Macaca fascicularis: one gene and its partners. The protein of the gene in region 1 binds, or shares a complex with, the protein of each later gene. Links are inferred from orthologs where the notes say so. Each region holds a gene or a part of one and is shown in the gene's direction. Other genes may lie near its edges. The genes, in order: CEP290, TMEM107, CC2D2A, TMEM17 and MKS1.

Evidence for each region.
Region 2: CEP290 (region 1) and TMEM107 share a complex: the UniProt entries of both Homo sapiens proteins name them as parts of the tectonic-like complex. The link is inferred for Macaca fascicularis from reciprocal best matches to the Homo sapiens genes CEP290 and TMEM107.
Region 3: CEP290 (region 1) and CC2D2A share a complex: the UniProt entries of both Homo sapiens proteins name them as parts of the tectonic-like complex. The link is inferred for Macaca fascicularis from reciprocal best matches to the Homo sapiens genes CEP290 and CC2D2A.
Region 4: CEP290 (region 1) and TMEM17 share a complex: the UniProt entries of both Homo sapiens proteins name them as parts of the tectonic-like complex. The link is inferred for Macaca fascicularis from reciprocal best matches to the Homo sapiens genes CEP290 and TMEM17.
Region 5: CEP290 (region 1) and MKS1 share a complex: the UniProt entries of both Homo sapiens proteins name them as parts of the tectonic-like complex. The link is inferred for Macaca fascicularis from reciprocal best matches to the Homo sapiens genes CEP290 and MKS1.

The regions. Positions count from the first base shown.
Region 1 is NC_088385.1:95,071,077-95,076,925, reverse strand, and holds part of CEP290 (centrosomal protein of 290 kDa), read left to right. Parts: intron 1-322; coding exon 323-392; intron 393-694; coding exon 695-741; intron 742-3,325; coding exon 3,326-3,469; intron 3,470-5,849. UniProt on the Homo sapiens protein: Involved in early and late steps in cilia formation. Its association with CCP110 is required for inhibition of primary cilia formation by CCP110.
Region 2 is NC_088390.1:8,259,984-8,266,304, reverse strand, and holds TMEM107 (transmembrane protein 107), read left to right. Parts: upstream 1-2,088; 5' UTR 2,089-2,213; coding exon 2,214-2,300; intron 2,301-2,476; coding exon 2,477-2,544; intron 2,545-2,627; coding exon 2,628-2,746; intron 2,747-3,586; exon of another isoform or gene 3,587-3,685; intron 3,686-3,852; coding exon 3,853-3,949; intron 3,950-4,194; coding exon 4,195-4,264; 3' UTR 4,265-4,466; downstream 4,467-6,321. UniProt on the Homo sapiens protein: Plays a role in cilia formation and embryonic patterning. Requires for normal Sonic hedgehog (Shh) signaling in the neural tube and acts in combination with GLI2 and GLI3 to pattern ventral and intermediate neuronal cell types.
Region 3 is NC_088379.1:14,620,548-14,627,189, forward strand, and holds the start of CC2D2A (coiled-coil and C2 domain-containing protein 2A), read left to right. Parts: upstream 1-2,413; 5' UTR 2,414-2,584; intron 2,585-6,642. UniProt on the Homo sapiens protein: Component of the tectonic-like complex, a complex localized at the transition zone of primary cilia and acting as a barrier that prevents diffusion of transmembrane proteins between the cilia and plasma membranes.
Region 4 is NC_088387.1:59,413,339-59,419,200, forward strand, and holds the end of TMEM17 (transmembrane protein 17), read left to right. Parts: intron 1-1,390; coding exon 1,391-1,494; intron 1,495-1,635; coding exon 1,636-1,749; intron 1,750-2,691; coding exon 2,692-2,970; 3' UTR 2,971-3,953; downstream 3,954-5,862. UniProt on the Homo sapiens protein: Transmembrane component of the tectonic-like complex, a complex localized at the transition zone of primary cilia and acting as a barrier that prevents diffusion of transmembrane proteins between the cilia and plasma membranes.
Region 5 is NC_088390.1:48,491,189-48,497,521, forward strand, and holds the start of MKS1 (tectonic-like complex member MKS1), read left to right. Parts: upstream 1-2,643; 5' UTR 2,644-2,666; coding exon 2,667-2,746; intron 2,747-3,168; coding exon 3,169-3,278; intron 3,279-5,115; coding exon 5,116-5,243; intron 5,244-5,663; coding exon 5,664-5,819; intron 5,820-6,333. UniProt on the Homo sapiens protein: Component of the tectonic-like complex, a complex localized at the transition zone of primary cilia and acting as a barrier that prevents diffusion of transmembrane proteins between the cilia and plasma membranes.

The DNA.
Region 1 (5,849 bases):
GCCGAGCATAATGGCATGCACCTGTAGTCCCAGCTACTCAGGAGACTGAGATGGGAAGATTGCTTGAGCCCAGGAGGCAGAGGTTGCAGTAAGCTGAGATTGTGCCACTGCACTCCAGCCTGGGTGACAAAGTGAGGCCCTATTTCAAAAGCGAAAAAAAAGGAGAGAAAAAATTATTTATTTATTCAACAAATATTTACTGAAAGTCTCCATGTGCCAGCCATTGCTGGCACTAATGAGCTTAATAAAACAAAATTTTTATTTTCAGTGCTTACATTCCAGTTTAAAGGCATATTGAAATAAACTTTTTTTAAATGTTTAGATGAAAGCTCAAGAAGTAGAGCTGGCTTTGGAGGAAGTAGAAAAAGCTGGAGAAGAACAAGCAAAATTTGGTAAGCACCTTGGAAAAAGTTTATTATGTTATTAAATAATGAGTTCCATTTGTTCATTAAGCTGTAGAAAATTAAATTCTATAAACTGTATATATTCAATTTATTTTTAATATATAACATTTATTTAATAATACATATTTCTAGACTCCTGTTTTATGGATCTGCCGTATAATACTTTTTGTTACCTTATAATCATGATGGACTCTTTTAAAAGAATTAATTTTGTTATTAAAATTTATGTAAAAGTTTGTTCTGTGGTAACTAATCAATTAAAACATTTGTCTTTTTTTTTTTTTTAATAGAAAATCAATTAAAAACTAAAGTAATGAAACTGGAAAATGAACTGGAGGTATGTCTTTTTGTGTTCCCTAGGATGTAATTGTCATTAATTTTATTTTGAATTGTTTTCAAATTTTAAAATTATTATTGGCTGGAAAAATGATAAGGATGATTGTAATCATGGTTATTTGTTTATTCAGTATATGTTCTACATGCCTATTATGTGCTATATATATATTGTACTAAGGATTGAGCATACGGTTGTGAACAAAATAAAAAGCAGTTAACTGCTGAATGGAGCTTACAGTCTTGGGAATTATACAGAAAGATTACTAGTAACTGAGGTGGAGGGTGGGTGGGCATTTGAGGAATAATTACCAAAGGGTGTTATAGAAGTAATTTTTGACAAAGCTGAGGGCTAAAATATGAATATATTGTTGAGGAACAAAATACATAGAGACTTCTGAGAAGGTAGGAATGTAATGCAAATGGATCAGCCTTTGAAAGGAGGAATACCCTTTTCCTTTGTGTTAGGAGAGGAGGAAGAATGGATGAGGGGAGGAAGAGTGAATGTGTATAGAAGCTTTTATGTTTGTAGGCATAATGCCTGGAAGTTGAGAGGGTGGTGATGACATCATCTGTTTAAAAGAGTGGGAAATGGTGTGGTCACATTTTAATGAAATTAGATAAAATTTGAAATCCATTGGAGAAAGGACTGGAGAGTTGGGGATCTGGAGGCAGACAGATTTGAGTTCTAGTCCTGATTCTTTTACTTGTTAACTCTCTGAACTTGGATTACCTATTGTTTTTTGATTATATATCCAGCTCCTGGGAAGATGCCAAGCACTTTGAATAAATACTTACTACATGAATTATGGAGTTGGATCAATTCTGTGTTAGTCTTTAGCTAGGCAGCTGCTATAGAATAGGAGGGTACAGTTGAAGATATTGGTAGGAAAGTGGTTGAAGCGATGATTGTGAAGTCTTAACTGAATGGATAAGAAAGTCAAGATTGGGGTTGGGTGGGCAGAAGGGTAGAGATAGAGAGGGAGAAGTCAAGGGATTAGAGTGTCCTGTGAGGTCAAAGGATAGGCATAGTGGGAATAATTGAAAGAATGTTCTGGCTGGACAAGGATCTGATGTAGGTGTGGGAGTGAGAAACTATAGTGAATTCAAGAAACAAGAAAAAAATAGATTAGAACAAAAGTTATGTGGAGATTGCTTAGGTGTACATTTGATAGACGTCTGCGGGCCACATGCTTAAATTCCCAATGCATTTTGCGGAGTTATTGGGAAGTTCGTGGCTTGCTTCTACCATGAGTAAGTAAAGATGGAGAGCAGGACATCTTGTGAGAAAGCAGCTGAAGTTTTCATAGGATGATGGAGGAATGATAGGAATGATCACCTGAAGTTGCAGGGTTGGGTAAACCTAGAAGTACCAACACCTTCTCCTGACCCTAATGTATATGGGATCTGAAAGAATGAGCACCTTCCAATTGAAAGAGTTTCAAGAGCATTAGTATCTTGAAGGATCCAAATTGCAGCTAAGCCAAGATGGAAAGGAGGATTCAGTAAAGCATCTGAGGTTGTGAAATATTAATGTATCTTGGAAGAGAACTTAAGAGAGCACAATGGAGTACTTTTTGAAGGAGAGAAAGAGTAAGAACAGTTTGGTTAGTGCAGAGGAATAACAGAACTACATGGTGAAGAAATGAATGTGAGACACGTTAGATGACCAAATGATGTGATGTTCTGGGCCATGACCTAAATTAACAAGACTGTGAGGTAAAATTGATTTAATTTACAAATCTTAAAGGTAACCAAAACCTGAGCTGTTTAATATGGTAGCACTAGCACTAACCACTTGTAGCTATTTATATTTACATTGGTTAAAATTAAAATGAAGAATTTAGTTCTTCAGTTGCAGTAGCCACACTTCAAATGCCCAAAGGTAGCTACATGTAGTGAGTGGCTACTGAACTGGACAGCACAGAGAGCATGCCCATTATGCTAGAAAGTCCTATGGGACAGCGCTGGTCTAAATAGTGCATGGTATGAGAGAAAGGGCAGGTTAAGGCACTCAGCTTCACTGACGGGGGCGGAGATTCTGTTGGTTTGTACTCCAGTTGCACTAGCCACACTTCAAATGCCCAAATGTAGCTACCTGTAGTGAGTGGCTACTGAACTGGACAGCACAGAGAGTGTCCATTATGCTAGAAAGTCCTATGGGACAGCGCTCGTCTAAATAGTGCATGGTATGAGAGAAAGGGCAGGTTAAGGCACTCAGCTTCACTGACTGGGGCAGAGATTCTGATGGTTTGTACTCAGATTCCAGATCCCTGAGGCTCAGGAACTTTTGCAGTTTAGTCTGGTTACCTGTGTCCCAGTGGTTACAACAGAATGATTAACAGTCAGTTCTTTGCAGCTCTGGGTGGCTCAGGAAAAATTTAAGGAGTTATTAGCTGTGACCTAAAGCTTAAGTAAGTTAAATTAAAAAAAAAAAAAAGTTCTTAAGCTAATAAGCTAATATGATTTTAAATATCTGCACTGAAGTATAAGGAATATTTAAAGTCAATATAATGATTTGCTTCTTGACTCATTTGAACCTCAAAATATAATGGGATTAATTTATACTTTGGGTTTATTACTTCAAGATGGCTCAGCAGTCTGCAGGTGGACGAGATACTCGGTTTTTACGTGATGAAATTCGTCAACTTGCAAAGCAATTAGAACAAAAAGATAGAGAATTGGAGGACATAGAAAAAGAGTTGGAGAAAGAGAAGAAAGTCAATGAGCAAGTAAAGCACCTTTTTTTTCCATGAATCTTCACTGTTCAAGTTACCTGGCTATTTATTATTGGTAACAATATCAATTTTTATATTGTATGTTATATTTGAAAAATGATGTTCACTTATCTCTAAGATTTTATATCACTGTTCATTTTGTCATCACCAATTTTAAAATATAATGTAACAGATACTTCTAGTGAGTATGACTTGAAGATTAATTATTTATATTCGGAGGTACATTTTTCTCAGTACATCAAACTTGTTACCTAAAATTAATGCTTTTTTCTGGAAGATTGGTATCAAGAAACCAACAGATTTTCATAAAGAAGTGATCTTTCTAGCGCCATAGTTTATTTTGGGTAAAAGTAATATTTGTTTGTTTCAGTGTATTTATATGATTAGTAGATTTGTAAATGAATCTTTTGATGATATATTCAATAATGGTTAATTAAATATCTTGTTTTTGGTTGTACCTTATTTTATGTGTGATATATATATATATACACACAGTATATATAGTTTTTGAAAAGTTGTGTTCATGTCAGTAGTTTATAAATGACATCTTTAAAATAACATTTTTAATGCATAGTTTTTATTACTTCATGTTATTCCTTGTTATAAGCTAGTAATTCTTGCAGTGTTCACTTGAATTTAGTTTTAGGAAAAAAGATTTTTTGCAGATCAACTTGTATTTCCTGGAAGAAAATTTCCTATTTTTACCTTAACTTCCTGTTTAATGTTTTATTTACTTAACATTTATTTGTTTTTTATTTCACCTGAGCTGTTAGTAAACTTAGTAAAATTTGGTGCCTACATGTGGTAGCTGTCCTGTCCCTTATACTCAGAAACATTTTCCATCTTTGTGTCCTTTAAGTCATTGTTGTGTTATATTCCATTTATTTTATTTTGTCCATTGTTCTCTCAGAAGTTGAGGGTCATACATTAAGAAAACAATGATATGCTATTTAAGATAATGTATCATAAATTGATTTGTAAGGAAAAGTATCCCCATTAATGTATCTATTTTACTCTAAAATTTTAAAGAATCATATATAAGTTAGCTATGGAAACAATGTGGTAGAGACAGTATGGATTGATGCCACTTAAATGTTAGGAACAAGCTCTTAGAGTATTATCTGTTTAATTAACTCTGCAAAACACAGCAGACCTGTGGATTTTTTAATAGTCATAAAGGATCTAGCTTATAATATTCACTGGTAGAATTGCTTAGGGGGATGTCTGTGGTTTTCTGGACTTTTGTTCCTCTATATAGACCTGTATCAGTTGACTTACCATCATTCATACCACATACCCTTAGCTAATCAGAACTACCTTGTCCATTTTTATCTTAGAGTATTATCTTTATTCATAGTCACACACAGAGAAAACTTCAATATGTGACCTGTGTTCCTTTTTGGCTGCTCAATTCCTTTAGATGAAATATGGGTATGGGTTGCTTTGGCAATTACTTCTTTGCCCTTAACCAGTCATTCAGTTTTGTTGGGTCTTTACAGCATACCAGAGACTGTGCTAGTTACTAGTGATATAGTGGGCAACTTTGTTCTGGTTCTCAAGAATATTCATAGTCAATAATAAGCATAACATAGTGATAATATGATAGGGAGATAGATAAGGTTATGTTCTGGCATACTCTGAAGAGGGATACCATAATCAGCCTTAAGGCACAGGATGTGATCTGTAAACTGAGATTTGAAATAGAGTTAGACTGGTAAGAGGAATGAGGATGTACATGGTGGTTAAGGAAAGAACATTCTGGGTAGAAGATACAGCATTTGCTAAGACCTAGAGGTAAGAGATGTTATGGAGTATTTAGGAAACTACAGTTATTCTTTTTGACTGAAATATAAGTGAAAATAGCTTTCATAGAGTTCTTACTATGTGCCAGGCACTTCCGAAGCATTAATTCATTATTGCTTATTTGATACTTACCATGTGAGATAGTTGTCATTTCTACCATGATATAGATGAAGAAATGGAGACAGAGAAAGGGTAATTGCCAATGGTTGCACAGCTTATAAATGGTAAAGGTAGGATTTGAAAACAGTCTTAACTCAAGAGTTTGTGCTATCTTGCCTACCAAGTTTTAATTCTTATGATCCTCTGGAGAGATAAGCAAGGGCCAGTTCCTGATGAATTTGATTCTTTTCCTGAAAGAAGCCAATGAAGAGTTTTGAGCACAGGACATCATGATCAGATCTATATTACTGTACTTTGTAGAGAGTGGATAGAAAAGGGCCAAGGCTAGTAAGGAGACATTTGTGTTAATTCAGGGAAGCACTAATGATGGCATTTGCCTGAGAAAGACAAGTGTGAGAGAAGTAGATGTAACTGGATGTGGTGAATGTAATTGGTTGTTGGAGGAGAGGGA
Region 2 (6,321 bases), on another chromosome or scaffold:
CTGCCCGCCTCTGCCTCCCAAAGTGCTGGGATTACAGGCGTGAGCCACCACTCCAGGCCTTTATTATTGTTTTATTAGAGAGAGGTGTCTCACTATGTTGCTCAGACTGGCTTCAAACTCTTGGGTTCAAGGAATACTTCCGCCTTGGCCTCCTAAAGTGCTGGGATTACAGGCATGAGCTTTCGCTTCTGGTCCCAGAGTGCATTTTCTTTTTCTTCCTTTTTTTTTTTTTTGAGACTAAGTCTTGCTCTGTTTCCCAGGCGGGAGTGCAGTGGCACGATCTTGGCTCACTGCAACCTCCGCCTCCCGAGTTCAAGCAATTCTCCTTCCCTCAGCCTCCTGAATAGCTGGGATTACAGGCGCGCGCCACCATACCCGGCTTTTTTTTTTTTTTCAGTAGAGATGGGGTTTCACCATGTTGGCCAGGCTGGTCTGAAACTCCTGCCCTCAGGTGATCTCCCTGCCTCGGTCTCCCAAAGTGCGGGGATTATATGCGCGAACCACCACTCCCGGTCAATTTCTGGCCAAAGTTTCTAAAATAAAGTTTAAGAATAAATGCCCTATTTTTATAGAATTATAAATGCCCTACTTTTATAGAATTATAATTCTAGCGTTTCCTTTTTTTTTTTTTTTTTTTTTTTTGAGACGGAGTTGTGCTCTTGTTGCAGAGGCTGGAGTGCAATGGCACGGCTCACTGCAACCTCCACCTCCCGGGTTCAAGCGATTCCACTGCCTTAGTAGCTAATCGAGTAGTAGTAATCGAGTAGCTGGGATTACAGGCACGCGCCACCACATCCGGCTAATTTTGTATTTTTAGTGGAGATGGGGTTTCAGCATGTTGGTCAGGCTTGTCTCGAACTCCTGACCTCAGATGATCCGCCCTCCTGGGCCTCCCAAAGCGCTGGGATTACAGGCGTGAGCCACTGTGCCTGGCCCGCGTATCCCTGTTTGTAGCACCTATTATCTTACGGATTTATTTGTTTGCATGTCTGTTGTTGATCTCCCTGACTAGAATACTATTACTAGGTAATAAATAAATATATAAAAATATTTGTTGAAGGAATGAGAAATGCCTCTTGGGCTTGTACTTTAGTCTGGCTAAAGGCACTGAGACGTCGAGTGGGAAGTAGGAAGATATTGTTCTCCTGGGAAATGGGCCGGGAGTTTCCTTGAGGATGGGACTTGACTGAGCAATTAGAGAAGAACTTTCAGATCTGCAGGGACCTGCGCTGAGGCCCAAAGGTCATGACGTCGCCGGTGATAAGAGCTTCCTGGACTGTAGCTGGGCAATGTCGGAGGTCCAGCACCTCCAAGAGATAAAGAAATCTAAGTTGAGTTTCCCTTCCCGTAGGCTCCAAGCCTCCCAGAGACGCAGGGACTGTACCATTCCCTTCGTCCACTCCCACCTTTCCAGCCACCTTGCTTTGCTCTTATTCCCACGCTAGTTTAAGGACGCGGACCACTTTTTGCACTCTGCAAATCCTTCACCAAACTGAGCAAAGTAGTCTGAGAGAAATCAGTCTTCCTCAAGGAAGGTTCAGGCCTAGGGTCCTCAGACAACCAGGGGCTCTGTGACAATCTGTAACTGCCGAGCAGTCCAGGAACACCGGCCTCTCCACGTTCGGGTCCCTTGTTTCTCAGGCCCAGCTTGGTGGGAAGTTAAAGGCATGAGGAGAGGAGGAAGGGGAGCGGGTGTGAGTCTTCGGCATGGCGGGGACCTCAGCCCGGCGTGGCGGTGGGAGTGATCTCAAGTGATCCACAACTGGGCAGCGTAGCTGGGGCTGGGGGCCGCTCCCGGCGTGGGCAACCGCGGAAGCAGAGGTGTCCCCAGGCTAGGCCAGGGTGGGTTTCCGTTCGTCGGCCCTGCGTGGGCAGATCGGGCGCTGCGCGGCTGTGCCACCCCTCACCCTCTGAGAAACAAAGGGCCTGGCTGCGCACGGGTACCCAGCCATTGGGTTAGAAGCTCCTTCGGGTACCCCTGACCTGAGTTAGCCCTGAAAGACCCACAGCAGATGGAGAATGTACTGCTCTCGCGAGGTTTTCCGAGAACGCGGCAGCACGCCCGCGTACGCGGTTACCAAGGCAACTGGGCGGTGCCTGAGCTGGCGGAAAGGAGGAGTTCGTCTAGATTTGTCCGCTTGCTGGTGGACTTGCGGGAGTCGCAGTCTCTGAACTTCCAGCCTCAGAGACCGCCGCTCTTGTTCCCAAGGGCCATGGGCCGGGTCTCAGGGCTTGTGCCCTCTCGCTTCCTGACGATCCTGGCGCATCTGGTGGTCGTCATCACCTTATTCTGGTCCCGGGTAAGACCCACGGCTGCCCTCCGTCCGCCCCCATTCCCATCTCGGAGTCGTCCCCGCCCCACCCTGCCCCTCTCCCAGTGTCTTACCCACTTGGGTTTTCTCGTGTTCCGCCGTCCCTAGGCCTGCCCAGCAGCCTGCCCCTTTTTCACTTCTCTTCCTCTCTGCCCTGCTCCCAGGACAGCAACATTCAGGCCTGCCTGCCTCTCAGGTTCACCCCCGAGGAGTATGACAAGCAGGACATTCAGTGAGCTCTTAGGACGGGGTGGCCAGAACGAAGAGGTGGTGGGAGTGGAGGGGTCTTAGAAGAAGTCCAAAGGCCTGAGCCAGTCCACTTCCTCTCTGCAGGCTGGTGGCCGCGCTTTCTGTCACCCTGGGCCTCTTTGCAGTGGAGCTGGCCGGTTTCCTCTCAGGAGTCTCCATGTTCAACAGCACCCAGAGCCTCATCTGTATCCTTTCTGCCTGCCCACCTTTCCCACACGACCCATTTCTATCAGGACTCCCTTCAGCCACCTGACACAATAGTGTCTGCTGTAGCCAGTCTCTCCAGTTCAAAGATCTTCAACCATGTGCTAAATCCTGCTGTTTACTAGGCACTTAAAATTCCGAAATGAGAGTAAAATACAGTTTTTGGCCAGGCACGTTGGCTCACGTCTGTAATCCCAGCACTGTGGGAGGCCCGCGCAGGAGGCAACATAGTTAGACCCCGTGTCTACAAAATAAATAGTAATAATAAAAACTCCACTTTTTTTTTTTTTAACCATGAGGAGGAGGTAGATACACATCTGTAATTCAGTGTGATAAGCAGTGTGCTATGGGAGTGTGTAAAGATAGCACAGGCAGGGTGCGATGGCTCATGCCTGTAATGCCAGCACTTTGGGAGACCGAGGCAGGTGGATCACCTGAGGTCAGGAGTTCAAGACCAGCCTGACCAACATAGTGAAACCCTGTCTGTACTAAAAATACAGAAATTAGTCGGGCGTGGCGGTGCACTCCTGTAATCCCAGCTACTCAGGAGGCTGAGGAAGGAGAATTGCTTGAACCCAGGAGGCAGAGGTTGCAGTGAGCTGAGATCGTGCCACTGCACTCCAGCCTGGGCGACAGAGCAAGACTCTGGCAAAAAACGAAAGATATAAAGCACATTGGGAACTCAGAAGAGGCAACGGAAGCCAGGCACATGGGTCAGAGAATTGTGGACCAGGAGGACCAGGACACTGGAGGCTGATTCCAGCGCATATCAAGTCGCTGTCAGCACTCCTGTGTGGCATAGCAGGAGAGCCTACTCTTACCTCTCATCTGAAGGATCCAGGCTGGCCCCTAGATATGGAGTAGGGTAGCCTGAGATCCCATCTGCGCAGTCACTTCTGGTCTCTCCTCACATGACTGTCCTAAAATTCAGAAGTCGGGGATGCTGACTCTAGCCCTTGCAATATGGTGAGGGAGCAAACGATGAACCTGAATGCAGATGCCAACCCCACCACTGGCCTTTGGCCTTTTCTGACCCCTCACTATCTGTCGATCCAAAGACTTTCCTTAACTCTGGTGCCTTCCCAAGCCATTGGGGCTCACTGTAGTGCATCCGTGGCCCTGTCCTTCTTCATATTCGAGCGTTGGGAGTGCACTACGTATTGGTACATTTTTGTCTTCTGCAGGTGTGGTAGCATCCAATATTCGGGAATGAGGGAGGAAGGCTGACCCTAAACCTGAGGGTTTTTCCCCCACCCAGCCCTTTCCTCTATGTGTGAGATACCAGATCCACTTAACATCCTGTAGTCTTTTGAATTTTCATTCCCTACCCCATGCCACCTGTCCTACACTTTCAGGGGTGGGGTCTCTGGTTTGGAGATTTGGGTATTTATATTGAAAGGGTTTCTGAATTTACCACTTGCCTCGGTAGTGCCCTTCCAGCTGTCACTGAAATGACTTTATTCGTCACCGTCTTTGGGCTGAAAAAGAAACCTTTCTGAGCACCTTCATGACGGGAACCTAAGGACGAAGGCTACAGGGGCAAGGGCCGCTTCGTATTCCTGGAAGAAGGAAGGCATAGGCTTCGGTCCTCCCCTCGGAAACTGCTTCTGCTGGAGGATATGTGTTGGAATAATTACGTCTTGAGTCTGGGATTATCCGCATTGTATTTAGTGGTTTGTAATAAAATATGTTTTGTAGTAAGATTAAGACATATACAGTTTTCAAGGCACAATTGAGATGGCGAAACTACTGAAGAAAAAAAAAGAAGCAACGTTATTTTCTAGTTCTGCAGACCGTAAGATACTTGGTATCGCTTCTATTTTGGTTATTACGGTAGTTGTCTGGCGGAAGGGAGTGGGCGGAGATATGTAAATAGAAAGTGCTTACAGTTAGAACGTCCAGCACGTAAATGATCGGAGCATTCTGGGAAAAAGAAATGTATTCCTTTTCGGCAGCCGAATGAAAAAATTCTTTTAAAAATGTGCAAGCAAATATGGCAATACAACTGGAAGGATGCTAAGTAGTAGGGTTACTCATACCAACGCGTCGTGAACTCACCCTAGCTGTAAACGGAATCTTTTTGACTGAGTGCGGAATGTCGGCTCTTTAGAAATATCGTCAGGTGGGATAATCCTTACCTGTTCCTCTTTTGGAGGGCAGATGAGAACATGATGATTGGAGAATGCATGAAACGTGATTAACGTCTCTGCGTAATCAGGACTTGCAACACCCTGATTGCTCCTATCTGATTCTTCCTGACGATCACTTACGTTTCTGTTATGTTGATTGTAAGTTTAGTTAATGTAGTTATCATGCGGTGCAGGGAATAGTTTCTGTATTTCGCTATTTTGTGATCTCGCCAAATTTTATCTGGTTTTGAAAATTGTGAGTTGTATTTGTTGCTTACTGGGACTTAGGAGGTAGGATTGTGCAAATGGACTCCCGTTGTTCTTTGTCGTTTGATACTTTGACGCTTCACCTCTTCTCAGGAAACACTGCACATCAGTAAAAATCTGTAATCTAGTGCACAGGATGGATGATACTCATTCAATAGGAACGGGTTTTTTTTTTGTTTTGTTTTGTTTTGTTTTGTTTTTGAGGCAGGGTCTTGGTCTGTCGCCAGGGCTGGAGTGCACTGCACTGATCTCGGCTCACTGTAACCTCTGCCTCCCAGGTTCAGGAGATTATCCTGCCTCAGCCTCCCAAGTAGCTGGGATTATAGGCAGGTGCCACGATGCCCGGCTATTTTTTGTATTTTTAGTAGAGACTGGGTTTCACCATGTGGGCCAGCCTGGTCTTGAACTCCTGACCTCAGGTGATCTGCCCTGATGATCGCCCTCAGGTGATCAGCCTCCCAAAGTGCTGGAATTACAGGCGTGAGCCACCACGTCTGGCCTTTTTATTTGTAAATTTTGTGCTATCCATACTTTATACCAGTACAATTTATCATACACTTATGTATATACATGGATACATTTGTTTTTGGAGAGTTGGTTGTTAAAAATCTACCAGTACACCCCCAAGAAACTGATCATCGCCAATGACTTCTGCTTCCCAAATCCAGAGTCACTTTTCAGACTTGAGTTTGAGTTTGACCTCTCTTCAGCATATGGTACGTTGACCACCCCCTCTTTTTTTTTTTTTTTTTTTTTTAGACAGTCTTACTCTGCTGCCCAGGCTAGAGTGTAGTGTGCAGTGGTGGGATCATAGCTCACTGCAGCCTCGAACTCCCAGGCTCAGATGATCCTCCTGCCTCAGCCTCCCAAGTAGCTGGGACTATATGTGAGCACCACCACACCTGGTTAAGTTTTAACATTTTCTATAGAGACAGGGTCTCACTGTGTTGCCCAGGCTGGTTCCAAACTCCTGGGCTCAAGCCATCCTCCCCACTAGGCCTCCGAAAGTGCTAGGATTACAGGCATGAGCCACCGCATTTGGCCCACTCCTCTCTTTTGCACTTTTTTCTCCCTTAGTTTTGAAACAGTGGTTCCCCTGGTTTGCCTACTACTGTACTGTTCTGGTTGTTCCTTTTTACGTTCATTCAATGAATACTTAG
Region 3 (6,642 bases), on another chromosome or scaffold:
TTTCTGCAGTAACTGTGAACTTGAGACCAGAGAGTCTCTGGTTTAACTTCCCTAGGGGGGAAAAAAAAATCTCCTATGGGCAGCAGAAGATGAGGCAGATGTGGAGGACAGAAATTATGCCTGAGGAATGGGCATTTTTCAGGCTGCCAAGAAAAAGGATCCTGAGGATCAATCCTTTAATATACAGACTTTCAAATCTTCCTGCATTTTCAGCCCCATATCTCTCCCCACCTTCCTTAGTCTATGGTTGTATTAGTTTCCTGGGGCTGTTGTAACAAAGTAGCACACACTGAGTGGCTTAAACAGCAGAAATTTTCTCACAATTCAGGAGACTAGAAATTTGAAATCAGGGTGTTGCAGGGTTGATTCTTTGTGAAGCTTCAAGAGACAGTCTGTTCCAGGCCTCTCTCCTGGCTGCTGATAGCCTTGAGTGTTCCCTGGCTTGGAGATGGTGCTCTCCCCATGTCTTCGCGTTGCCTTTCTTCTATTGTGTCTATCTCTGAATCCAAATTTCCCCTTTTGTAAGGACACAATCATCTTGGATTAGATCTCACTCTAATTACTTCATTTTAATGTGATTACCTCTGTAAATACCCTGTCTCCAAATAAGGTCCCATTCTGAAATACTGAGGTTAGGACCTCAGCATCTTTGGGGGTGAGAGAGAACACGATTCAGCTATGACATTGCTGCCCCAAATCCTGAGCTGTTGAAGTTCTGCAGAGTAAATCAGCTCATTTCCTTGTATTCATGCCTACCTGCATACCCCATCATACACGCACACAGATACATAAACATACATACACATACAGAGACACAAACACAAATACACTGACACATATGCATGCATACAGGCCGAGTCAAAAAAAGTACTCTGGATTTATTTTAATTCAGTATGGTAAGATACACAGACACAAACATGACTGGCATAAAAGAAGAAGTTTATACTTAACAGATCCCTAGAAACAAAAGGCATGGTGTCTTGGTTTGTTTTCTGCTGTTGTAACAGAATACACAGACTGGGCAATTTATAATGAACAGAAATTTATTTCTCACAGTTCTGATGGCTGGGAAGTCCAAGATCAAGAGCCTGGCATCCTGCAAGGGTCTTCTTGCTGCACCATCCTATGGTGCAAGACAAGAGAACATGAGAGCAAGAAAGAGAAAGAGAGAAAAGGAGGTCAAACTCATTTCTTTTATAAGGAATCCACTCTTGCAATAATGGCATTAATACATTCATGAGGGCAGAGTCCTACAGCCTAATTGCCTCTCATTAGGTCCCGCCTCCCCACAACATTGTATTAGGGATTAAGTTTCCAATACATGCTTTTGGGGAGACACATACAAATCATAGAACATGGAATGCCACACAGGACCACATAGGGAAGAACCAGTGTTGGTCAGAAGGCAGAAGGGAGACAGCAGAGTACAGAGCAGAGCCTTTACTAGGGTTTTCCCAGGAAGGAATAGGTGACACAGGGTAGGGTGCTGAGTAAATTTAGGACTAGATAGCTTGAATAATCGTGGTGTTCTCTGGGCTATAGTGGTCTGGTATCTGGACCTGGGGTGACTTGGGACAGGAGGAATATTGGCTTAGTGTGTGAGAGTTTGAAAATGGAGATGGTTGGTTGTGTGGGCTCTGGATTGGCTGGCTTGTATATAAGACTTTGCATATTTCAGGGGAATCATTTGCTATCTCTAGAAATTAGCTAACCTAGGAGAATCAGTTTCTCCAGGATCAAGGCTCCAAATGCCAGAGCATCAAGAATACAATCAATACACATACACACAAACGTACACACAAAATACACACAGATACAGATACACACAAACACATGTGCACATACACACTAGTCTATTTGGAGTGTGGTTTCCTTGGCTCCATTCATTCTATTACTCTTCCAGCTACTTTGCCTCTTTCCTCTCTCTCTCTTTTTTTTTTTTCTTTTCAACTGTTTTGAGCCATAACATTTATATCCGTTTTTAGGAATTGCAGTGGGATTCAGAGAATAGGCAAAAATTAAACTTGTGCATTCAACCTTCCACTTTTAACTGGAAAACACTTGAGCGCAACATTTGCTGGTACCCTGCAGGACCTCCACAGAGCTTTTGCTGCTGCCACGTTAGACAGCTTCACCATGTAATGATGATCTTTTAAGATTCTAAATCGCCCCACCTCTGAGCCTGTTCTTCACTGGAAATGCAAGACGACCAGATGACATGAGGGAGGGGCGGCTCTTAAGGCTTAATCTAATTTGCAGTGCTGCCCATGTTGATTTCTCTCAGTCCTTCTCCAGCAGGCTGTGCGTCTCTGCTTACCCAGCATGCTTGTACTCCACTACTGGAAGTAACCTGTCACTTTAAAAGAAAAAAAAAGCCACCGAGTGACCTTCCTTAGGAACGGGTTGCTAAGCTGGTGTTTTTGCTCCAAGACATGGCTGCAGCTTCCCAGGGAGGAGCCCAGGGGCATCTCCAACACTCAGCCTTTCCCTCCGGACCCTTTTAAAAGATTCTACAGCACCATCTCTCTCCACTTCCATCCTAGAAAGCAGAATCTGCAAAGTGCCTTTTGTAAAGTTTCTTAAGGTAAATCAGTCCCTAACCGGACTTTGGGCTGCAACAATGATTTCCTGTTTTCAGTTACCCGGCTTGAAATTCAGTCTCTCCCGGATACCATGAGACTGGATTTAATGAATTGTAAATTTAGGGGCTCTCATCATTATTTATGTTTTTACTTTCTGAAATGGGAACATAGACCATTACTTGGCAGCTTTGATTTGAGCTGCTATCTGGTATCTGGTTTGCAGGAAATGTAAGTCCAGTTCATCACAAGCCCTGAGTGAAAAGCTCTGTGAACCATTAGCTGCATGTTGCACTTACGGGCCTTTTAGTTCAAACTGGCTTAAGGTGAGAAGCACTAGTTACTGCGAAATACACTTTTCTTGGTATTAGACAGAGAAAGGGCTACTAACCACAGTGCTGAGAGTTGCTGTGCTGTCCAAAGACTTCAAGAAAATCTACTGGCTACAACTTAAGCTGACTGTTTGTTTCCCCTCATTGCAAAGAGGTGCTATGAAAAGCTAATAAAGTCGAATAAGATATATGTTTGCTATTGCATTTTCATATAACCTTTTCTGCAAATAAATTCAGTGCCAGCATGAAATCTCTCTCTCTCTCTCTCTCTGTCTCTCTCTCTCTGTATATATTTATATATACACAAATATATATATCTCCTAGAGCCCACTTATAGAGTCATTCATTCAAACATTTATGGAGCATCAACAATGCACCAGGCAATGAACTTAAGTTTAGAGGGTGCAAACATAAATTAGACCAGGTCAGAAGCTCAGAGTTTGCTGGGAAAATAGACCTATAAACACATGATAAGAGTACAATGAGCTAAGTGCCATAAGAGATTTATAAAACACTGAAAGCACAGTGGGATGACATCCAGGGAGGGGCTTCCAGCACTTACCACATTGTGTAAATGCACTGGCCATATATCATATAACACAGCTCAAATATGGTCCCCATATGTACTCTTCAAAGCCAATGTATATTATATTGAGCTGATTCAATGATTCTATAAAGCTATTTGTCACTAACCTTATGCTAAGGGAAACTGCAGCTGGAATAACTTATAGAATAAGACAATGTATTCCAAAAGAATGTATGTGGCACCTCCCCAGGTGTCCAAGCTCCAGGATGGAACAGAAAAATATTCTCACGGTGTGAGGAAGAAAATACTCCTGGGTAGAAGTGCAGGAGGTTGCAGAAGCACCATACATGGAAACAGCAAGGCAACTGCCCTGGGCCTGGCTGAAGGCAACGAGAGATGGAACATGAGTTATGGAAGCTGGGGGTTGAAGATTGGAGCCAAAGGTGGGTGGGCTTGAAAATCACCTAAGGTCTTTTTCATGACTCCTCTTCTATCCCCCAAGCTCTTTTCCCTCCTCATTCCTTTTTTCCACTTTCCCTCCCCACAATCACTTTTTCTTATTAACAAAACCTACCAATATTAAGAGCCCAGTCTGTGCTAGGCATTTTGCTACACACATTTCATCATTTAGCCCTTATAAATTAATCATCCTTCAAGGTAGGAAGTATGATTGCAATGTTGCAGACAAAAAAAAAAAAAAATGTGTCTCAGAGAAGGGAGGACATTGTTCCAAGATCACACAGCTAATAAAAAAAGCTGAAGTTGGAACTCAGGTCCACATATTCCTTGGCAAAGAAATACGTGGGCCACTCTTCCTATAAACCCATGTTTTTGCCATCCTGGAGTAGGGCATATATATTGCATGATTTTTTAAGCAACCAATATGGAGTTGAGATGCATTGTATCTCAACCTACAGGTATGGCTCTGATCCACTGATGACTCTTAAGAATAGACCATTTATTCAGATGAAGGTGTCAGTACTTTCCTTGAAAAAAATGTTTGGTTTTCTGCACTGAGTAAAATAAATAATTGACTTAATGTAGCCTAAGCCTTTTCTCACCAGTGCTTCACAGCTTTCAACTGTAAATATTTCCAGAATAGTGGGCTATTCTGGAAAGCATAGAATAATTATTGATGCCATTACAAAAGTAAGAATAAATGGTGAGACAAAGGGGTAGAGTGGAGTGAGGGAGGACTTGGGAATCAGAGTCTTGGGGTCAAGTTCTGGATGTGACATTTAATAATTATAACCTTGGGCAAATCATGCAAACTGTCAGAGCCTCAGTTTATTCATACACAAATTGGGGCACATACTGCTAAGCCAGATATGTTATTGTGAGGACTAAAGAGAACATATGTCTAGAGTTAGCACAAAATAAGTGTGCAGTAAATCATAGTTATTTTGATGTTGTCAGTAGGAATATATTAACAAGTACCAATGCATAAGATGATGGCAAGCTGCATATTAAAACCATGCAGTACTGATTTATGTTTTCTTAGCAACAGTGTTCATATAAAAAGTAAATTTCGTTGTCATTTGATTTCCTTAGAAACTCATTTAAAGGAAATGATCAGGAAAGAATGAGGAGAAAAGAAAATCCCATTACATTTTTCATTTTCTACTTCTATTTTTTATTTCATATAAAGCGTTTTTTAACTTATAGAGAACTTTTTTTAGTTACTAAAATATTTCACAGATTTTTTGTTTGTTTGTTTTGGTTTTCTTTCAGTTTGCAATGACCGGAGTTGTTTATTAGAGAACTCTTGTGTACTTTTACATTTCATCCTTATTATCTGCCCCCTCATTCACTCTAGGTTACCTTCTTGCCTCTCTATTTTCTTAGCAGCTTTTACATTTTCCTTCCTTTATTTTTTGTACACTGTGATGAAGTTTGTAGAGAAGACAATAGAATTTCAGATGTTTTATTTCCCTTTAACATGGTAATTCCCCTGTAGGGTCAGTGAAACCTTGAGCTCAGATGAGCTGCTTAAATGACCTGACCAAGTCCCAGTTAAGATTTGGGTTCCATGGATATTAGAAAGGGCTTATGATTTGTCAGCCATATGCCTGTTGTTTCTCCACATGGTTTCTCACTTAATCCTCACAGAAGACTAGAAAAAACAGTGGAGCTTTAAATAGTCCCAGAATGTGGCTATGGAACCACAGGCAATAAGTCAGTGACTTAGTCATTCATTTGACAAGTATATATTGAATGTCCATGATGTCCCATAATCCTAGTCTCTGGAGGTAAACAATAAACAAAATAATGTTTCTGCCCTCTTGTAGCTATATTTTAATGGATATAGGCTGACATTAACAAGTATGTATGTTGAGTGGTGATAAGTACTATGAAAAAATCATTGTAAGGTAGTTAAGGAATTCCAGGAGGGTGCTGGGAGGAGATCATTGTGTTGAGAATGGTCAGGGAAGAGCTCTCTGATAATGAAATTTCAGCAGAGACTGGAAGAAAGTGAAAGAGCAAGAGCCATGCAGATATCTTGGGGAAAAGGAGAACTAGGTAGCAGGAACCGCAGGTGCAAAGGTCCTGAGGCAAGAGGATTCAAGTGCAAATCACACAGGGCTTGTAGGCCTTGGAGAAAACTTTCGGTTTTACTCTGTGGACAAAGGGAAATCACTGGAGGATTTTGAGTGAAGCAACGTCATGATGTCACTCAAATTTTTATCAATTTGCACTGGCTTCAATGCAGAGAATATGGTAGCCCAGCAATGTGGGAAGGTGAGAAATTAGGAGGTACTTGCAGTAGATTTCAAGAGAGAAGATGGTGTTTGACCATGGTGATAATAGTGGAAATGTTTAGAAGTGATTAGATCCTGAATATAATTTGAAGCCAAAACTGGCCGGATTTCCGATGGATTGAGTGTGGTGTGTCATGTGAGACTGAGAAAGGAGTTAAGAACGACTGCAAGGTTTCTGGCCTGAGCAAAATGGATTTCTGTGTATTACAACAGGAAAACTGCAGTACAAAGCAGGCTCAGGAATAAAAGCAAAGAACTTTATCTGAGGTATGTCAAGCCAAGTGAAGGTGTCCATCAAGCAGATACTTGAGTCTGGAATTCTGGGGAGATGTCTGGACCCAGGATGTAAATTTGGGAAGTATCAGCATGCAGACGGTGTTTAAAGCCAAGAGACATGATGAGACGGCCAGAGGAATGAAAACAGGCAGAGCTAAGCCCCAGAGCAC
Region 4 (5,862 bases), on another chromosome or scaffold:
TTTTGGAGCTAAAAGAAACTATTTTGCTGCGAGAGACCATGACTGTTTCTTATATTTTAAAATTATTAAATGACAGATAAAAACACTCAACTATGGAGAAAAGGAGAAATAATGTTCTTAAGACATTTATTTTAGGACCTTTAAAATCTTACGTGTAGAACAACTGATTTCAATATATGTGTCCGCTCTTAAGAATTTAGTCAAATTTAGGATGTATTTTGTAGGGTTCAATTTTAAAAATCAAATTCTTAATTTAGGACCCTTCTGTCTTACATAAAAGCAAAAAGTGTTATGGAATCAACCTTAGGTAAATGGAACTCATGTATCACAAATGGCTATACTAGTAATGTCCTTATGACAGTATGCTTACATTAATTCATTCTTATGTGTATTTGATATTCACTGCATATAAAGCAAGATGCTAGATTCTATGAGGGTCTCAAATTAGGGTGGGACATGGTGTGTGCTTGCAGATAAGTAGATAAATAGAAGAGAAGAAGGAAAGGGGACTAATATTTGTTGAGTGCCTACTAAGTGTGCCCAGCACAGTGCTAGGAAGAAATAATTCATATTGGCTCTAATTCTCACAAGCAGCCTGTAAGGAAGTTTTAATTTCACTATTTTACAGATGAAGAAATAGAAGCTCAAAGAACTTAAATAATTTATATAAAGTCTGACATCCAGGGTCACAGAGGTTTGGGGAGCTTGGGTTTGCTTGAACTCTGAAGCCCGTGATCTGTTCAGTACACCAGACTGTTTTTCGGGGAGGGGAATGTGGTTCTTTGCTAGCACTTCTTATTGACAGTTTAGAGTGATAAGTACCTGAAGGGAAAGGTATTTCTGCTGGGGTGGGGGAACTGATGAAGGAAGTATTGATGGAAAAGACGACGCTGAATTGGACTTTAAAGAATGGCTAAGATTAGGGTATGCTGAAAAGAGAGATGTGTCTAATTATATAATCTTGGTAATCCGTTTTTGTATGAGATTAGTTTATATGTGAGAGATTCATTTTTATTTATTTTATGCATTAATTTTATATGCTATTTACATAGAATTCTACAAAGCAGGCAATGATAATTATCTGTTGAATAGGATTTATATTGATATTCTACATTAAATCTGTACTAGTATATGCAAAAAAGTCAGAAGACTGTAATGGCAAAATGGTAAAATAATTGAAAAATATGAAACATACCCCCAAATAGCCAATATTTGACCTAACTGGTATTAGGATGAATATTCCTTTTACTGTCAATGATTATAAATAGGCTTAAAATTTGGTGTTTTACTGAGCCAATATTATAGTTATTAATTCTACGGGATAGGATATATATATTTATAGGGCATAGACCAAGTTTCATAATTTGTTCCTTTTCTATTCCTTCTGTAGAAAATGAAATGGTCTCCAGTTTGGCATTGCAGATGTCACTTTATTTTAATACCTACTATTTCCCACTGTGGTGGGTGAGCAGCATTATGATGCTTCACATGAAGGTAAATCTAAGCTTTAATACTTTTGCTGCCCTGACGTTGTTAGAGTGTCAATAAAATTAAAGTTCTTAATAATTTTTTTCTATCTCAAATCAGTGTTACTATACGTGCAATTTTACAAACATGTTTTGGCCTTTCTTTTAGTATTCAATCTTGCCTGATTACTACAAATTCATTGTGATCACTGTTATCATCCTAATAACCTTAATTGAAGCCATCCGGTTGTATCTGGGCTACATGGGTAACCTACAGGAAAAGGTAAGCTCTTTTTTCCTTTCTCTCAGTGATAGATATAAATGAAATCAGTTTTCATAACAAGTAAAAGGCAGTGAGGTGTGGCAGAAAGAGCACAGGCCTGAATTTAAAGCCTGACTCCAGCTTTACCACTTCTGTCACTGTGGTCTGTTTGCTTAATCTCTTGAGCCCTGGTTTCCTCATATATAAAATGAGGAAAATAATATTTACTTCACAGGTTTGTTGTGATTAAGTGAAATGATTTATGTAAAGCATATGAATGTGGTAAACACTTAAAATTGATATTTTCCCTCTTCTCATCAGTCTTGAAAATACATGGTTACTTAGACATGTGTATTTGGATCCTGAATAAGAAAATGGGGGAAAATTATGAATTCGTTTCCTACGCCAGGCCCATGTTTTCTGCATCATCATGCTACCTAAGCATTTATGGTTACCAGAGTGTAGGGATAATGCCTAAAGATTCCTGTGGTTTTCTAGGCCCTTCATAATAAGGCCCCACCCAGCCTGTCTTACTGTAGGTTTTGCTGTTTTCTCACTCAGCCATTCATTCCAGGCTGATGTGCTGATTCCCAATCATGCTAGTTTCACGTGTTTGCTTACTTACCTTTTTGCCTCTTCCTCCTCCACAACTTTAAAAGCCTACATCCCTGAGGTCTTTCTTTCACCTACCCTAATCACTCTCTTATTTCTTGTAGCATTTAGTCTGTACTTCTAAATATTGCCCTTAGTTGTTCACTAAAGTGTAGTATTCTAGGATTGCTTTACATAAATTAGTTTTCTCATCTAGACTGTAAGTTCTCTGAGGACAAGGACCATGTCATCCTCCTTCGGAATCACTCACAGAGCCCATAATGTAGGTTCACAGTAGTGATAAGTACTTATCTGTATAAACAAAAACTATATTTTACTGATTTTTATTACTTTTGATATGTGTCATTGCAGGTTCCTGAGTTGGCTGGCTTTTGGCTTTTGAGCCTTCTATTGCAGTTACCTTTAATTCTTTTCTTGCTCTTTAATGAAGGCCTAACAAATCTGCCCTTGGAAAAAGCGATACATATCATCTTCACTCTCTTCCTTGCTTTCCAAGTTGTTGCAGCATTTCTTACCTTAAGGAAAATGGTTAATCAGTTGGCAGTTCGTTTCCACCTCCAAGACTTTGACCGGCTCTCTGCAAACAGAGGAGACATGAGAAGGATGAGGTCATGTATAGAAGAGATCTGACCCAGTGTTGAGTGAAAATCTGACAGATCATTCTAGAAGACTGTAAGAGTTAGGAAAATATCAGAGCTCTAATATGAGAAAAGGGACAAAGCAATTGTTTTGTATACACTCTCACTCTGAAATTCCAAGGTTGGGGGCAATGATGAAACTTTGTACAATGTATGAATCAGTATATTAGCCCCAAAACCTAGATGTTGTCTACCTGATGCCAAATTTCTTAATGTTTTTTGATGTTGTCTTTTTCAGGAGTGTAGAAATGTATGTATTGGTGGTTGTCATTTGCCAGCTCTCCTGTAGTAATTCTGGTTAGAATCTGTAACTAGAGATGTGTCCATTTCTTTAAAACTTGTTGGTTGTCCGTGTCTTGGCTGTACATATGACCATGTTTCTTGACATGGAAATGCCAGTCAATGTTCCTATGTATCTGACTATATTTATAAACCAAGAGACCCGCCAGGCGCGGTGACTCACACCTGTAATCCCAGCACTTTGGGAGGTCAAAGGGGGTGGATCACGAGGTCAGGAGATCGAGACCATCCTGGCTAACACGGTGAAACCCCGTCTCTACTAAAAATACAAAAAAAAAATTAGCCAGGTGTGGTGGCGGGCACCTGTAGTCCCAGCTACTTGGGAGGCTAAGGCAGGAGAATGGCGTGAACCCGGGAGGCAGAGCTTGCAGTGAGCCAAGATCAAGCCACTGCACTCTAGCCTGGGCAGCAGAGCGAGACTCTGTCTCAAAAAAATAAATAAATAAAAAATAAACCAAGAGACCAAATTTTCATGTCTGCTAGGGTTAAATTCTAACCCTAATATTAGCTGTTATACTGAGATTAAGAAGAAAACAGGTGGATTGCCTTGGTATTTAGGAAATATTTTTGTTATAAAATTATAACTTTCATAAAACCATATTCAGTATTTGTAATGGTGGTATATAAAATGCTTTTACAATAAATTATTAAATATTTAAGGTATCAACAACAGATCATCCTTGTCTTGTGCAATTTTTTTGGGCTATAGATTTGTGTTTTTTATTACAGAGTTGCAAGGGAAGGAAGGAAAACAAATCCTAGAGAGCTATCTATGTAGTGGGCACTGTAGTAGGCGTTTTAAATTAGCACTTGTGATCTCATCTACTAGGTTATCGGTCACCAAAGAACTGCTTCATACCCATTAAATTCACATGAGGCTTGATTTGGAAACCAGAGCGCCTCTTAATACATATGAGAGCTAAGATGGCCAAAGGGACTATACTCATGATCCTGAATAAGCATGCTCCCTTGCTAATAGGAGAAATCTATTTTAGGAGATTTGGTTAAGAACAAAGTTGCTTGGATTATCCGAACATTATATTAGTGACTGTTGGACTGTCTTAAAGGATATGATACGTTCATTACAGGTTTTCTTTTTTTCTATAGGGAAATGGGCCTTCATAATGTATTTCACTGAGAGACAGTTGTAGCTGCATTAAACATTGCTCTTTTCAAGTTTATTTTTCTACAATTCATACTTTGGATTCCCAGGTTTTGCCTTATTCATTCTTGTTTTGCTGAACTTCAAAAAATGTCTTTACTTCCCACTCATTCTTGATTCTTCCTGACCAAACTATGCTAATTTTATTATTTCTGCTCTTTATGATTATATATAAAGTTCAGCCAAATATTTCTCCCTCCATGCAGTGGCTAGTTAATCTTTCTCATGCCAAAGTAGTCACTAGTTACACTCTTAATAATTTGGAATTTAAAATAGAATTCTGTTTGAATAGTTTTCTAAAACATATTCATTTGCATTTGTTTCCCAGATAGGACTAGGTAGGTATCTGGGTAGGTATAGGTAGGTGATTCTATAAGAAAATATAAAATAAAATTAAATCTACAAAGCAGATAAATTAGGGGATGATGGAGACATTTCTATTTCAAGATTGTTTCCAGAGTTTTATTTTAAATAGCAGAACTTCTGGTACATTTAAACTTTAAGAGATTAATAACAAAATGTCAGTCATAATCATAAAAAAATTTTTTAACTGTAAAAAATTTGAGAAAATTGATTTATCAAAATTTCCAAGTAATTTTGCTGTAATAAACATATTGTTTAAAATGCAGATATAGTAACAGTGGGGGAAAAAAAGATAGTAAATTGAAACCATGACCAAGTCATTTGTTTGTTTTCCATCTGAACAGTAAAACCATGACTTTTTGGGTCAGGCTGAACCAATATTTTCTATTGGAGTATACCTGGTTCCCTATATAAGTATGTGAAAATCAAGGTAGAGAAGATATTTACATGTCAGCACATTTGGGGGTTAGGTGGTCTTTAATTTTATCTGAATATGTTTATCCATCCTTAATTTATATTTTATCCTTCTCTCTTTACAACACTTCTGAAAATTTTTGTTTAAAATGTTGAACTTTACAAATATTTTGTCCTTTACATATTTTTTCTATAAATCAAAATTATTTTATTTTTATTTATTTCTTCTTCTTTTTTTTTTTTTTGAGATGGAGTTTTGCTCTGTCACCCAGGCTGGAGTGCAGTGGCACGATCTTGGCTCACTGCAACCTCTGCCTCCTGGGTTCAAGTGATCCTCCTGCCTCAGCATCCTGAGTAGCTGGGATTACAGGCACCTGCCACCATGCCTGGCTAATTTTTTTTGTATTTTTAGTGGAGACAGGGTTTTACCATGTTGGCCAGGCTGGTTTTGAATTCCTGACCTCAAGTGATCCATCTGCCTCGGCCTCCCAAAGTGCTGGGATTACAGGCGTGAGCTACCAAGCCTAACCTAAATCAAAATTATTTTAAAACATCAAAATGTATTACTTTAACATACACTTGAATGACTAGAATATATAAGGAATAGTCAAAGGTTCATAGACAAGACAAGCTCCTAGTTCTCAG
Region 5 (6,333 bases), on another chromosome or scaffold:
CAAGCCATTCTTGGTATCAGGGTACAAACTCCTTTGAGAATCTGATAAAAGCTATGAACTCTTTCTAGAAAAATCCCCCATTCAGAATTCTAGGGTAAGGATTCATAGACTTCTTGAATCCCACTCATGGACCTCAGTTTTAAGAATCCTGGTTCATGCAAATCAAGACCACAGTGTGATACCATCTCACACCAGTCAGAATGGCAATCACTAAAAAGTCAGGAAGATTGTGGTGAGGCTGTGGAGAAATAGGAACACTTTTACACTGTTGGTGGGAATATAAATTAGTTCAACCATTGTGGAAGACAGAGTGGGTATTCCTCAAGGATCTAGAACCAGAAATACCATTTGACCCAGCAATCCTATTACTGGGTATATACCCAAAGAAATACAAGTCATTCTACTATAAAGACACATGCACATGTATGTTTATTGGAGCACTAATTACAATATTAAATACATGGAACCAGCCCAAATGCCCATCAGTGATAGACTGGATAAAGAAAATGTGGTACATATATACCATGGAATACTATGCAGCCATGAAAAGGAATGAGATCATGTCCTTTTCAGGGACTTGGATGAAACTGGAAGCCATCATCCTCAGCAAACAAACACAGGAACAGAAAACCAAACACTGCATGTTTTCATTCATAAGTGGGAGTTGAACAATGAGAACACATGGACACAGGGAGGGGAACAACACACACTGGGGCCTGTGGCAGAGTAGGGGGCAAGGGGAGGGAGAGCATTAGGACAAATAACTAATGCATTCGGGGCTTAAAACCTAGCTGATGGGTTGATAGGTGCAGCAAACCACCATGGCACATGTATACCTATGTAACAAACCTGCACTTTCTGTAGATGTATTCTGGAACTTAAAAGTAAAAAAAAAAAAAAAAAAAAAAAATCCTGACACATGCTACAATATGGATTAGGTATCTAAAGTAGTCAAATTTCATAGAGAGAAAATGTAGAATGGTAGTTGCCAGGGGCTGGAAGAGGGGGATCAGGAGTTACTGTTTAACGGGAACAGAGTTTCAATTTTCAAAAATAAGAAAGTAGTGGTAATGGATGGTGATGATGGTTGCAAAACAATGTACTTAAGACCAATAAACTGAATATTTAAACATAAAAGGATCCTGATTCATAGAAATCAGTAAACAAAATATGAAAACTTAGTTTACCTATATAAAAATAATACTAATTATGGTTGCTTACTTGACAAATAGCTTATATCTCCATACCATGTGATATAGAAACTATTTTGCATATAATTATGTCAGATTAGCTTTGTTGTACATTGGATTTGGTTATAAAATTAAACTAGAATCAAGCTCCACTTTATCAGCTGTTGTGCATGTGGCACAGATTGCCTACTCACAAAAGGAAACATTAGAGAGACCATTTCTTAGGAGCTAGAAAGATGCCTTTTTAAAAATCTGTTAAAATTATTATTTTCCAGGTTGGAAATGTGTGCATTTATAGAATAAATTAGTAGGTGAGAAGCCATGAGGCAAAGTGGAAGGTGGTTAGGCTTCAAAAGACAGAACTTGGGCTGGAATCCTAGTACTTTCACCACTTCCAAGTTTAGCAAGTCCTTTAAACTCTGGCCTTCACGAACTTCACTCTTAAAGTGAACAAAAATACCTTCTTGAGAGGCTTCTACAAGGATTTGGGACAATGAAAACAAAGTGCTGAAGCTGCACTAGATCCTAAATAAATGGTGCTATTTATGGTGAGTTGGTGTTACACAACTAGTGGCTATGGCACCCAGAGCTTCCAATGCCAAATCATCAAACTGGCATGAGATTCCTGAGTTCAGGGGACAATTGCTTACTTTGTTGGAGGAGGACCAGATGTGAAAAAGCCTGATAAATGTTGACATTCCCAAGGCGCCAGGGCGCCAGACGTGAGGTTACAGCATGTCCTTCCTTTGCTAGTCCAACGAAGCATGACTTCTTAATGTCACTTTTTTGGCTTTTCAGGAAGCCCGTGCAGTATCTGAAGTGTTTTAATGATCCAAAACTAACACACACAAGGTAAGAACTAGTTCAATAATAACATCTTTTCCTTCCTTACTGTTGACTTCCTTGTTTTTTCTTTCTTTGTTCAGAGAATATCAACACAAAGACTAATAAATCTTCTGACACACTTTTTTGTCCTCCGAGAATGTATTTTCTTGTTTGGCTAAGGGCCGTCACCTTCCCTGACTCCTTTGGGAATAATGGGTGCATTTCTTACAGTTACATCCACCGATTTTCAGGCCAAAGTTTTCATGCGTTCAGTGGAAGGCACTGTGGCATGGTGGAAAAGGTAGAGGGCGAAGACTCAGATCACCTGGTCTCCATCATCATTTCTGCATCTGGCTATATGAGGTGGGCTGATGGCTGTGCCAGTTTCCTCATTTGCACCGTGCACGAGGTCCCGCTTTGGGTGAGCTTTTCTCGCATACATGGTAAGCGGTGATTGGCAGGACCCCGGAGCCCTCTTGGGCGTTAGGCTTGGGCTGCACTTGCACTGGGGGCCTACTGGGACTGTGGCGCCGTGACGAGAACGGCGGGTTGCGCGCGCAGCACCTCCGTCGCCTCCCGATCCAGAGTCTCTGTTGCCGGGAAAACAGAGCGGCGCGCTTTCCGGCGCAGTCGCGGCGCGTCGCAGCTGTCATGGCGGAGACCGTCTGGAGCACTGACACCGGGGAGGCAGTGTATCGCTCCCGGGACCCCGTGCGCAACTTGCGCCTCCGGTAGTCACACCGCCCCAGCCCCGAGGCCCCATGGTTTTATGTCCTTAGATCATTCCAACCTGAACTCGGTGTTCCGAGGCCCCCACTTCTGCTTACAATCCCGACCACTTCTTCTCCGGGCTCCCCCCTTCTTTCACTATCCGTACCCCATCCACTCACAGTCTCCAAGAACCCCTTACAGACCCACCCAAGTCCATTCACGTCCTTGTTGCTCCCAGTTTCTCAGAGCCCTGTGTCCCCAGTACACCCTCTCACCCTCAGTCTTCCCCATAGGACCGCGCACCCACCCACCTCCTCTCCGTTGTCTGCACCCAGCACACCTTGGCAACCCCACCTCCTCCGTTTTGTTTCCCCAATCCTTGCTTTGTGTTCATCTCCTGGTTGCGTGTCTGGTAACAAATATTTTGGGCTTTTCTTGACAGGGTTCACCTGCAAAGAATCACATCAAGCAACTTTCTTCATTATCAGCCTGCTGCCGAGCTCTGGAAGGACCTCATAGACTTGGCCACTTTTAGGCCTCAGCCAACTGCCAGTGGGTGTTATGGTGATGATGTGCCATCTACTACTAATTCTGATACTAATCAGAATTGTGGCCAAATGTAGTGAGATAACATGTACTATACTTCTGATACGTTATAGATTTGCCTGGCAATCTACATTCTATTTGTGGCATTTTTAAAAGAGAAAACGTGTCCCAAACTCTAAATACACATATAAACACTTTAAAAAACAATTTTTAAACTGGGGACTGCTTGAAAAATATACATATAATGTGCATATGAAGATCAACTATATTCTTGTGGTTTTCCTTATCTGGGAAACCGAAAGAATGAGGAGGAGAGGACAGAGTGGTTGTGTCAGGTCACTAGTCTGTCTGCCTTTATTGTTTCTCTTTCTGTTCAGAGCTGTTCCTGGGCAAGAGTGTGGGCTTGCGGGTTGTGAAACATGTGTCTCTGAAAAAGGCATACTCAGCCAGCCAAGAGTGTATTAGATTAGATTTGTTTTCTTTGTTTTTGTTTGTGTTTTGTTTTGAGACAGAATCTCATTCTGTTACTCAGGCTGGAGTGCAGTGGTATGATCATAGCTCACTGTAAACCTTGGTCTCCCAGGCTCAAGCCATCCTCCTGCCTCAGCCTCCCAAGTAGCTGGGACTACAAGCTCACACCATTACACTCGGCTGATTTTTTAAAAGTTTTAGTAGAGAAAAGGTCTTGCTATGTTGTCTAGGCTGGTCTCAAACTCCTGGGCCCAAGTGATCCTTCCACCTTAGCCTCCCAAAATGTTGAGATTACAGGCGCAAGTCACTGCGTCCAGCCAGATTTGGTTCTGTTAAAAAATCATTTATTTGCCTTCACTGTCCTCTCCTGACACTTGGCCTCCTAAATTTCAGTGTTTGTGATACTACATATATGGCTTTAGAAATAGTAAAGATAAAAATGCCAGGGTTATTTTCTAGCAAACGCAGACAGTTTGGACTGCGGAAGGGCTGGCTATTCAGCTTATATCTAAATTTCAGTTTCTTTTTTTTTTTTTCTTTTTGAGACGGAGTCTCGCTCTGTCGCCCAGGCTGGAGTACAGTGGCCGGATCTCAGCTCACTGCAAGCTCCGCCTCCTGGGTTCACGCCATTCTCCTGCCTCAGCCTCCCGAGTAGCTGGGACTACAGGCGCCTGCCACCTCGCCCGGCTAGTTTTTTGTATTTTTTAGTAGAGACGGGGTTTCACCGTGTTAGCCAGGCTGGTCTTGATCTCCTGACCTCGTGATCTGCCCGTCTCGGCCTCCCAAAGTGCTGGGATTACAGGCTTGAGCCACTGCGCCCGGCCCCTAAATTTCAATTTCTTATATCCAGTTAGATTAGATATTTCCTGGAGGAGGCTGGGCGCAGTGGCCCACACCTGTAATCCCAGCACTCTGGGCGGCCAGGGCAGGTGGATCACCTGAAGTCAGGAGTTCAAGATCAGCCTGGCTAACATGGCAAAACCCCATCTCTACTGAAAATACAAAAATTTGCCAGGTTGGTGGCATGTGCCTGTAATCCCAGCTACTTGGGAAGCTGAGGCAGGAGAATTGTTAAACCCAGGAGATGGAGGTTGCAGTGAGCTGAAACAGTGCCACTGCACTCCAGCCTGGGTAATAGAGTGAGACTCCATCCCCCCCACCCCCAAAAAAATTCCTGGAGGGTATTTTCTTTTACTCAAATTAGAGTAGTGATTAAGACTTCTTGGGTTCTAATCTTGGCTTCCACTCATACTAACTCTTATATACAGCCTCTCTAGCATTTCTCTAGGTTGAGTGCTTAATAAATTGCTGAATTCCAGCTGGTTTTTGTGGCAAATATACGAATAGGAACTCTGGTTATAATCAACCACAGAGCAAGAAGTGGTGCTGGTTCGGCTCAAGCATTTGACTCACTCTGTTGTCTTTGGAGGTGGACACCGCCCAGAGGAAGACGAAGAGGAGGAGATTGTGATTGGGTGGCAGGAGAAGCTCTTTAGCCAGGTGAGCCAGTGTCTTTTGTCTGCTCTGTCTGTTCCACCTGGTCTGACTCCACATGACTGGTGATACATATTGCCAAAGTGATTTCCAGACAGGTTGTAACGGTTTATACTTCGCCCTGTTGTGTTTAAAGGGCAGTGTAACAGGGATTGCCACTACTCAGTTTTATGATTCTGGGTGAGGCACTTTTCATCTCTGGGCTATATGCCATCTGTAATCACAGATTTGGATTAGACTATCAGTCTGGTTCCTTTTAGGGCTAATGTTCTTGGTTCCCCTGCCATCCATTAATTTAGTGTTGGTTATGAAAACGTGTCAGATAGCATCAGCTCTGTAGAACTGATTTGATTAAATAGTTACAGAAGCAAAAGTTTGCTGTATTATAATGATGTACACATCTCTGTTTCCTTATGGTAACCTCAGTTTGAAGTAGATCTGTACCAAAATGAAGCAGCCTGTCAGAGTCCTTTGGATTATCAGTACCGTCAGGAGATCCTGAAGCTGGAGAATTCAGGTGGCAAGAAGAACCGACGAATCTTTACCTACACTGACTCCGATAGATACACCAATTTGGAGGAGGTATTATTCTTTCCAGGGTCTCATAGCTTCCCTCTTTGCTTCCTCTAGCTTTTTTGCCTCACTGGATTCTTGTGTTATGTCAGAAGCCTAGTAAGGGGAGACAGGTAGCCTGTCTAGGAACCGCTGTGAGCTGCTGCTGCTGGCAGCCAGCCTGCAATAGAATGGGCACAGTCTACAGGTGGTGAGGCTGCTGCTCCCTTCTCTGCCTGCTGGAGGGCCTGGAGGAGCTGCCAGTTCTCTGATTATACACTTGCAGAGTGCATACTGGGAGAAGTAACCATTGGGCTTGACTTCCTCCATGCATCATGAAAAAAGACAGGTGGTGGAGTCTGGAACAATCTAGATAAAATTCATCAGGGGATTTGGCCCAAACTCTGAGTATATGGGTTTGAAGAAGAGTTTAGTATAGCTGTGGAAAATGACTTATGTCCTCAATTTGCCAATGACAAAAATACCCTTGTGACCTTGTTTTGCATTTTCTTCAATCACTGCATTTCAGTTGCTTCTGTCTTCT